2 linked regions of the Schizosaccharomyces pombe genome follow. The protein of the gene in region 2 interacts with the protein of the main gene of each other region in a pairwise test. Each region holds a gene or a part of one and is shown on either strand. Other genes may lie near its edges. The genes, in order: bud6 and SPOM_SPBC16E9.15.

Evidence for each region.
Region 1: the proteins of SPOM_SPBC16E9.15 (region 2) and bud6 interact in a two-hybrid assay, tested with the Schizosaccharomyces pombe proteins (one large-scale study listed by BioGRID).

The regions. Positions count from the first base shown.
Region 1 is NC_003424.3:3,714,596-3,721,667, reverse strand, and holds bud6 (actin-interacting protein 3), read right to left. Parts: upstream 5,026-7,072; 5' UTR 4,863-5,025; coding exon 705-4,862; downstream 1-704. Other genes in the region: SPOM_SPAC15E1.02C (uncharacterized protein), read left to right, coding at 1-358; shugoshin Sgo2, read right to left, coding at 5,355-6,920, 6,973-7,040.
Region 2 is NC_003423.3:1,944,758-1,948,428, reverse strand, and holds SPOM_SPBC16E9.15 (uncharacterized protein), read right to left. Parts: upstream 1,537-3,671; 5' UTR 1,452-1,536; coding exon 1,389-1,451; intron 1,332-1,388; coding exon 1,308-1,331; intron 1,259-1,307; coding exon 1,216-1,258; intron 1,152-1,215; coding exon 1,054-1,151; 3' UTR 591-1,053; downstream 1-590. Other genes in the region: Golgi zinc importer, CDF family, Zrg17, read left to right, coding at 2,107-3,267.

The sequences.
Region 1 (7,072 bases), on a different chromosome or scaffold from region 2:
TGGACCCCTAATGGGCGATATTTGGAAAAGGGCAATGAGCACTGCACCTCACGTCGAATATGACGCTGGAAGTAAAACCAAGAAGGTTGCTACAACTTATGTTAGCAATTTCCTTAGTACAGCAGTTCAGTCGTACTCGATCGCTGCATTGTTGCAACTTACAGGCACTGTGACACTCAAAGGTGCCTTTTTCGTGGGTCTTTATGTATTTGGTGCATCTGGATTGCCCGACGTAGTCGACTATATGTTCACAGAAAGCAGAGGTACCCCTTACATCCTTGTCAAAACTATATCTTCTCTAGTGAAATCAGTAGGCTTAAGTGTTGCCTTGATCGGTTACGGCGTACGTCGTATTTAAGATTCCGATGGTTCAATATCTGATTTTTAAAACGACAAGTTAATCAAATTTTCTTTAATATCTAAGATTTCTTTTCTGTGTTTATCTCATATTTGGTTAGACTGTAAGTGAAAATAGTATCCCAATAGTGGTATTGGACAACATCGAAGCTTCCTTTGCTTGTTATAACTGTACATATTAAGGTATGTTGTAACTCTATTCAGCAAATCCTTGATTCACAAGATTTGCATCAGTCCTAGTGTAATACAGGGTAATTTCTCTCGTAACAATTAAAGTTAAAAAAAGTAAAAAAAAAATACACAAACTGGCATACAATCATTGCCAAATCGAATAAAACTTATGCACATTAAGTTAGGCTTGTCTCTTCAACATCTTCGGCATCTTCGTAAGCGTCATAGTCATCAGTGGATATCGTATCGTGTCTTACATGATGAGTCACTTTACTCATCTGTACATTGTTATCGTACTTAAGATCAGTATTCTCAAACACTGTATCACTAGAACTTTCGACTCTGTTATCGGAGTATTTAGAAGGGGTTTGTTCATCATCTGTTTCATGAGCTGTACTACGGACGATCGGCGTCTCATATATATTAAAATCAGGTTGCTTCAATGGCTTTGGAGTTGCCAATGGACTGCGTTCTAACATAAAATTCTCTGTATCCACCTGTGAACCGTAGTCTATTTCTGCAACAGTTGCTTTAGCAGAATTATCAGGCACAACATGTTCGTCTAAAACAGTGTCACTCGATTCCTCAATGAAACTACCTCCATTTTTTCCATTGCGTTTCGATGACACAAAGTCATCCCATAGAATTTTACGTACTTTTTCATCTTGAATTGTTCGAATTCGATCAGCCTCTTCCGCTCCTCCGATCTTATTCAACTTTTCGTTCTCAACAAAAGTTTTAACTTCTTTTGAAAATTCATCTACTCGTTGCAACAGTCGTTTTTTCTGCAACAGTTCACTACGCTCAATAGCCTGTAGTCGTGCTTCACTGTCGGGTTTTAGATTTAGTACTTCTAGCTGAATTTGATCACGATAACCTTTAATCTCAGACTCAGTGGCAGTTTTCAAAGTTAAGGGTTTGCTTTTAATGGAGGACTTGGCTTGCAATTCAGCTATCGCGGAAACATTTGAAAGGACAGTGGATAATGCGGAAAGATCCCTCTTAAGATCTGATATAAGAACAGTATGACTATCCAGAAATTCTTGCTCTTGTACAATTGCATTTAACTCTCGTTCCCATTGCTTCTTCCAAATTGGAGTTACTTCCTCAAGAGATCTTTCAAGGGTTTGAATCCTTTTTTCCAAGTATGCGCTTTCCTCATTTAATTGAGATGTTTGATCTAAGCCTGGTCGTACTTTGCGCAACAGCACATCAGAACGCATAAGTTCAATCTGATCATTTACCTCATCAAACTTTTCAACTACGTTTTTAACTTCCCGTTCAATCCTGTCCTTGCTGCTTAAAACAAATCCTCTTCCAAATTGGAAATCCAGAGATCCCTTTTCATTAAACGCATTTATCTCTTTCTTAAAATCTTTTATCTTTAACGGAATCCTGGTGAAGAAAGCAGCCGAAATCTGTTTAAGAGAAGCCAATTCTAGTTGCATATTCTTAACTTGTTGGTAAAACTTGTGGTCGATACTATCAGGGACAGAAAAGTTATTTGCCAATTTTGAATGGTCTTCTGACGATTTGAGTGCAGCTGAGTCGTTGGTGTGATTAGTTGAAATATTTTGCTCAATAGCTTTCAAGCGCTCAAGAATTTCTGTAAAAGCAGAAGAAGGACTTTCATGAGTGGTAGTATTAACATGATCATCCAGAGTGTTTTGTGCAGATGAATGTTGAATAGCAGAGACCTCACCGGAATGGAAATCTTCCCTCTTCTTGTTAGCATCTTGCTCTTTAAACATAAAAGAAACTAGTGACTTGTATTTAAGGTCCGAGAGATCTTCTAACAGATAACTTATCTTAGTATCGGGGTCTTCAATATTTAGTTCATAAGAATCGCCACTAAATGAAATTTTATATACATTACTGAAAAGTTCGCCCAGCTCATTTGCGTTTGATAGAGGACTTTCAACCTTGACTTTTCGGGTCTGGTTATTGTAACGCAAAAAATAGTATTTTTCCGTATCTACCCCCAACGGTTTTGGGAGTGCCTTTTCAGTCTGAGAAACAACAGGAACCTTTTCCGGCTTTGAAATAGGAGTTTCACTTGGAGACCCTGAAACATTAGGTGGAGCAACGGTAGGTAAAGGAGAAATATTGGAAACAATCGTAGATACAGGAGCAGTAGAAAAAGCGGTAGATAGGTGGACGGCCTCGGGAACGATGGGAACATTAGTAGTAGGAGAAGTAGCAGATACAAGAGCCGAGGATGGCGGCTCCGTTATTTCAACAGGAGAGGCAGGTTTCTTAGGGTAGACATCAGATACAGTGATAGTAGATGAAGGGTCGTTAATTAATTTGGCAGATGCGCCTGTATTTGGAGTCGATTTATCTTCTGAATCCTCTTCAACCTGTGTCGAGTCATCGTTAGAGATTACATAGCCTTTTGTATCTTTCTCGCTCTTAAACTCATCTTCAGAACCAGACTCTTCGGATGAATATTCATATTTATGGAATTTATAAGATGGTTCATCTTGTTCAGCATTGTTTTGTTGTATAAGTCTTTCCAGCTCTTCTAAGGAATCGTTTTCAAAATTTGCTAAACCTCCTTTTGTATCTGAAGTGCTTATACTCGTACCAGATTCAATTTTTTCAGAACTAGATATCACCGGGGCTTCTTCCTTTCTTTCAGTTATTGATTCAATTGCAGTAACAGCAGGTTCTTTTTCTGCAATTTCATTTGAAGCTGCTTCAGGGACGCTACTGCTAGGTTGTATTTCCTGTTGAGTAGATGAAACTTGGGGTAATGAAAGTTTACCTTGTAAGCTTTCAATTTCAGAGGTATCTTCTGAGGATTCTGCTTTTTGAATTTGTCTTTCGAGGAGTTCCCTCTGACTTGTGGCATCCGTCTCAACCTCATCAGCGATATCTTCCAATTTTGGCGAAGCAGCATATTCTTCAGTTTCACGAATGGAATTCGGCGAATTCAACGTAGAACCATCATCTGCATTAAATTGTTTTTTGTTAACAGATAGTGTTGAAGAACGACCTCTGGGCAATAAAATCGGAGTACTAGATGGAAGGACTGTAGCAGATAATGGGCTATTAGGGGAAGAGATAGTCCTTGATCGTTGGGGAAGTGGCGGAGCGACTTCTCCGTCATTGATGGTTGAGCTACTTAATATTCTATGATCAGACACGCTTCTAGTTACATCAGTTGCACCCGGAAAAACATTACTTCGATTTGCTTGACTTATTCTTAAAGAGTTAGAACGAGAGTATACATCCTTTTGTACGAAAGAACTGGGGCTTTTTCGAAGAGAAGGGCTTTTTAAAGAAGTGGGTGTTCCAGGATCTAATGATTTAGTCAAAGAAGGTGTTCTAGTAAGTTTTGGTGAAAACTTTCTATCAAAACTTGTATTTATTGTAGGTCTTCTTGAAAGCTTATTTGAATCATGACTATCTTGTCTAACGATAGATGGCCTTTTAGATACTTTGGGAGACGGTGAGTCCATTATATTGTCTGGCTTTGAGGAATCACGAAGAAAGCCTCTGACAGATTCAACAGTGATATTCCTCAAATTCTGAGAAGATCCCTCATTGTTTTGCTGGTCTTTTACCATGTGTGACAGTCGTTTGCTAGCTCGGCGTTCGAGAGCATTTGTCTGCTTCAATGCATCAAAGGCTCCAGGAGCACTTAATGAGGCACTCGTAGTTTCTTCATATTGCTTTCTCGAATCAGGATTTCTAAATGATGATATGCTTCCTTGGGAAGAACCACGACTATTACGGCGATTAACATCGTTATCATTCGCTTCACGGGTCATTTGAGGCAAATTTGACCTAGATTGATTTAATCTGGATTTAACCAGAGATTGCTTATACTTCAAGCTTTGTAGGAGGTGCATAACCAGCTCCCTTACGTTAGGAAGATTGGTCTCCAAAGCATCAGAAGATGGTGTTTTTTCCAGTGTTTGCTCTAGGACTGATCTGAGTTCTAGCGGAAAATCATTTAAATCTGCAGTTTCAATACCAGCTTCATGAAAGGACTTGGTTGTCTGAAGGAATTCCCCTATTAGAGTAACATAAACGGATGAAACAGCACTATCATTAACTGTACCTTTGCTCCAGTTTGTTAAGCTTTCAAGAAGCTCCTTTGTTACAACTAAAAGCTTCATTATCGATGTCTCGATTGTACTAATTAAATGAGACGCTGCATCTCTTGACAAAGGGCTGTTGGACGCGCCATTAGGTACAGGCTTCCGATTTGAGTCGGAAGGGACTAATCTTCGAGAAAAATTTGCTCGAGATTCAGTCTTTTGTCTTTGCATTGAATGATTGGAAGAAAAACGTTCACGAGACATATTATCGCCGTTATTAAACATTGGTCCCAATAGATGAGTAAAGCAATGATCCTAATCGCAAAAAAAGGATTGAAAGTTCAACTTAAACTTAAAACAATAAACATAAGAGAAAACACAAAACCAATTAGGTTTGTTATATACAAAACATAAGAATATTGACTTATTAGACTCAGTTGCGTAGGTTAGTACTTCCACCGAGGGCGATCGAGGTACACTAGAAATGGACTACTTGATGAATGTGCTAAGGTACATAGTAAATTGAATTTGTGAGGATTGCTAAGTAATTTTATAATATATTTACACACCTGTTTATTGTATTTAACTAACCAAACCATATATTTGTACATAACGTTAATGACAAGAACAAAATGTGAATAAACAAAGAAAGAAGTAATATGAAATACCAAAGGTTAACTCCCAAAATATTGACTTTTTATTTCAAATTGACGCATACCTCCACTTAAAAAATCTGAACCAACTAAACGATGTCGAAAGGTATTTAATTACATAATATTACAAATTAAGGGTTTCGGAGTTTTCAAGGGTTACTTCTGAAGTAGTGGGTGCTTCAGAAGTAATGTTTGCGGTTTCTGTTTTGGTAGCTGAATCATTCTCAGAGTTCTTAGGAGCACGTCTCGTTTTTTTAGCTTTTACATGATCTGAAGGTAAATCGAAATTCCGTCTTAATTTCGTCCTTAATCCAGGCAAAGCGTAATTAACCTTTTTCCGTTCCCTTCGGCTCCTTCCATCAGGTTTTTCATTTGGCTCATTGACTACTGTACTTTCTTCAGAAGTTTCTTGAATCCGAGCTTTTCTTCGCCTTTTCACTTTTGTTTCTCTTCGCGACTGAGTTTTCGTCACACGATCGTTCTCATTAGGGGATTTCAAATTCGTTACAGATGACAGAAGTTCCAAATTATTATAGGAGCCCGTATCGTTGGTAGCAAAGGAGCTACGTGACGGCTCAATTTCGTAAGGTCGATCTTCAGCATTCAATATTCCTTGTAGCGATGGCGGACGTAACGGAGAATTATTGGGATGGGCTATTGAAAATCCATTTGAAGATGGAGGTTCACTTGACAGTCTCATGGGAGGATTTCGAAAAAGTGTTAAAATTTCCCGCTCTTCGTCGGTAAAAGATTTAGGATTCAGTCCAATTTTGTTAGAGTCATTCATTATTTCTACAGAAAATTTTTCGTTCCCATTAGTGACAGAAGAGTCTACTAACCCGTTTATTTCCCTTGGAGTGTCTGTACGAGGAGATTCAGCAACAGTCATATTTGACAGAGAAGTCGTCGTAACCTGAGGCCCAACATTCTCTTGTGAAGTTAATGAATTATGCGCAGTATCTTCAGGCGCAAACTTCAACGATATGGAGCTATTTAAATTAGGATCTGAAATATGATGCCCATTTCGGTTACTTTTATTTGAAGATTGCACAAGAAGGACAGCAGAATCCAAAGAGTTTGCGCGATTGGGGCGACTATCGGTCTCCGATACATAACCGGTAACATTGGTAGCTGCAGAAGCCAGATTAATTTGTTTATTTTGAATGTCAACGTCCCATTTCCGTTTAGTGGGTGTACTTTGTATTACTGTATCAGATTGTATTCTGCTATGAAAATGAGCTTCTTGTGAACCCTCATTTTCTTCTTGAGCAACTCCATTTGCATTATCTTCTTCGGTTCTTCTTTGTGCAGCTGCTTGATTATTAATTTTGTTGGATAATGATTTTGGACTAACGATTTCGTATTCATGATTTTTTTCCTGAGGAGCAGAATCGATAGATTTATTTTCAGAAGTAACCGCTTCAACTCTATCTTCATTATTATTATTTACAGGTTTCGAATTGGATAGATTGTAAGGATTTTCAAAATCAGCTGGGAGGGCTTTGCCGGATTTTAGCTGAGGTGCTGATTGCGTGTCGGAAAAAACATTAGCTTCTCTTTTTTTTTGTTCATTTATAGCAGTTTCTCCGTCATCAATTATATTTTCATCCTCTATTCCACTTAAATTTCGTAAGGAAACATCATGCTGAGCTTGCTCAATTATTTCTTCGGTATCTTTCACGACGGATTCCTTTCAGACGTTAGATAAACATATCTGAAAAACATAATACGATTCAACTTACCTCGTCAAGGTCTTCAGAATCCGTATCGACATCGTAAGCTAAGTTAGCCTCCACTGGTTTGAAGGTGTCTGTGTTCAATTAGCTAAAAACGATATGAATT
Region 2 (3,671 bases):
ACCGAACCCGTTCATCCACACGCCGTTACCACTAATGAACCTACTGATGTTAGTACTAAGAGCAAGTCCGCCGCCTATCACTATCCTGCCACCACTGAGACTGTTTCAAGCAAAGCAGCCCGCTCTGCCACCACTCCTGCTTATGTTGGCGGTGCCACTAAAACTCCTAGTACGACAAAGGCTGTTGAATCTACTCCCAGCACCTTGCCTACTTCAGCTTCCACAAATGCTGCTGCTACTACTACCACTAAAAAGCCCAAGGCTGCCAAATCTACTGCTGTACGTGATGATGTTTCTTCTGCTTCTTCGGATAGCGACAAGGGTACCACCGGTTTGGGCAAATCTGAAAGCAAAAGTTCCCGCAAGGAACGTAGAAGCAGCACCAGCAGCGGTCATGGCTTGATGAACAATGTTCGTCATGCCTTGGGTATGTCCAACAAGTAAAGGGAATACTTGCAATATCAAAATTTTTGGACGTAACCTTCATTATCTCGTGAATCCGTTATGAAAAAAGGTTTTTATTGTATGGTTCTTATTTGAAAAAAAGGGACGACAACTTTTTGAGGGGAAAGTTGTCATCCTTTAAAGGTTGGTTCTTTATGATGGAAAGTACTGCGAATTGTTCGTAATTTATTAATGAGATTCTTTGTTTATACGAGTAAAGAAATTGAATGCGATGGATATAGAAAATGTAATGTAGCTTTAGTTTTAAGTAGTTTGATTGTCTGTGGTGGGTTGTATATGCTTGCTTTGGCCTTGCTAGATAATCAAAACAAGAAACAATATAAAATGTACAATAGAACTAACAGGTAAAAATAAATGTACAAAAAATAAATGATTTGAATTTTCTCGTACGAACATGTAAACAATTGAAAAAGACAAACAATCGAGACTTAGAAATACAATTGAAAATAAATAGACAGAGCAAGACAAACAGAGGTTATTCTTAATAAAATAGAGCAAATCTAGCACAATCCCCAATCCACCACGTCAAACAAGCTGTATGCTCACTTCAAATAGAAAGCTTTGAAAATCTTATGCGGTGAATCTTGTTCACTCGGTCGATGTGACCGGTGAGACAGAAGACTTTTTGTTCATGGCCTCACGCATGGATTCTTCAAGTTGATCTAAACGAGTTGACATCGTTTCCACTGTTAACATAAAAAGTTATGATTAGTAAAGCAAAATCTTTCATTATAAATTAGAGAATCGTACATTTCTCAGAGAATTGCTTTTGTAGGGTCTCAAAGTCGCCAGACTATAAAAATCTGTTAGAATGATTAACTAAGCACAATTCTTCTTCTTACAATATCCTCCAATAACTTATCAGTCTAAAAGTAAACAAGGTTAGATCATTAAAAAAAAAGAAAGACTAATCTTAAACGCACCAAAGTCGTGATCGCAGATGTGGATTGAGGATTTTTAGAATTCCCTCTAACAGACGCAGACATTGTAACCGAAAACCTTTTTTTTAATATGTATAGATGCTTCCTTCAGGTAATAAGAACTCACTTGTGAATACAATAGTTGGTATTTGGAAGAGAAATGGAAGAAGTAGGTAAAATAGTTGATGGAACTCAGCTAGGAACCTCTGCGTAATGTTATTTACCTACACATAATTATTTTTATTATTTTACCAAGTGTATTTATTGTCTTATCGAGTACATGTGGAAAAGTCGTAGAAGGAGAATTCAGGCCCTTGGAGTGGCCTTTTTTTTATAACTTAATGATGATTTTATTTTTAATTAAACGAATTAAAAAAATTACTCATAATATCCTTGTATGGATGACTTTGAGCCGCATGTTTGAACCCTATATATATGGCGTTCCACGATGGCTCTGAAAGGTAAGTTTGTTCATCTTTAACCGTTTTCTACTAAGCGTTTTTTATTCCTAGTCACTAAAAAGTAGATGTCTCAAAGATGGTACAACACTATGGCTTTTTATAATCATTTACTGATACAGTCAATATCTTTATCTTAGACTGTTGCAATTTGGGCCTAGTACCAACTGGTCTTACCCATCCACTCCACCAAACGCATGGGTGAGTGAGTTTTTAAAAAAGCCATTATAGAATTGTTGAAAGTATATCTAAATGAATGAAAAATGACTCAAAATCATAACATCCCGACTGCTATTCAGATTCAAAACCCTATAAATAATAATGTCTCTGTAACTATTAGTGATCAGTTACCAAAACCGAGTGCGAATAATCCCAACTTGTTAAGCGTGGATACTCGCCCTACCCACAGAAAAGGCCATCATCACAAACATTCGCTTTCGCATCAATATTTCTTACCACCCAAGAATCGACAGCCGTTAGAGATACCTGCCAGTTATCCCATTCCTACTTTTAAAGAAACATTCGCAATCCTTACTTTTCCTCAAAAACTAAAATTGACAAGCTCAATCCTATTCTTTTTGGTCGCCGTAGGGGTATTACTCTCGGGGGATGCTACTATCCTACTCACTTTATCTTGCTCTTTAATCGTAGAAGGTGTTTTAATCATTATCAACGTTTGGCGTGAAACATTGGATTCGTTCCTCGTCTGGCGACACACGTGTTTACGTTACCCATTTGGAATGCAACAAATGGAATTACTTGTTGATTTTTCCTTCTCAATCCTCTTAATCTTCCTCGGCATGAACCTCCTAAAAGAGCCTGCCGAACATGCTATAGAAGATTGGGGTAATCTCCATCATGCTGGCGATCATGAAGAAGAGACTGTACACATTCATTTAACCATTTCATTGTTTGCTTCGGCTATAATATCGGGATTTGCATTATTGTTGGATCACCCTAGTGCTCACATACGAGAACTCAATTCTCGCTTTTTCCATGGACTCACATTAGTACCTTCACTCATCCTCGTGTTGCTGTTAAGTCTTGGTTATCAAGTTGGTTCATTTCTCAGCCATTTGCTTTCCTTAACTATTGCTGTTACTGCCCTGGTGAATGGGTTCTCCATTGCCAAATCGCTTGCCTTAATGCTCTTGTTGACATACTCTAATAAAGAAAAGGTCTTTGAATGCGTCTCCCTTATAAAAGAGGATACACGAATTGACCAACTTAATTATGCTGCCATTTGGCAACCTCATTATAATACTTGTATTGCTAATATTGGCTTAACCGTTTCAGGAGGTGAACGAGAGCAGGCAGCAGTTCGTGAAGATATTATAAGGATTATACAAAAAACAGTAGGAAGCATATTTGGTGCTGGTGTTCAACCCAAATGGGAAATATCAGTAGATATCCAGAGAGCCTAATCGTTTTTTCCTATCTTACAACCAACCGTGTTTGTAACTCACTCGTTATATTTTTATTATCATTTAATGCATGCATATTTTATCAACATATGACATTATCCACCTTTGCGGAACTTTCGCTGTCTCGAACAGTTTGGATTCATAATCTAATAAATGCCATCCATATTTACTATAGAATTACCAACACCTTTTTCATTCTTTCCTTTAATTTATACCGCTTATTACAAATTATAAGGAGAATACAAACTCAAGATTTTAATATGAAATGAATAATTTTATTATTATAAATAAGGCATGTGTGGTCGTTGCATACTAAAAGGATCAAGTCTAACTAATAATAGAATGCGTATATAGAAGGTATTTTCATATGTAAAAAAAAAAAAGAAAAACGTAAGCATATATAT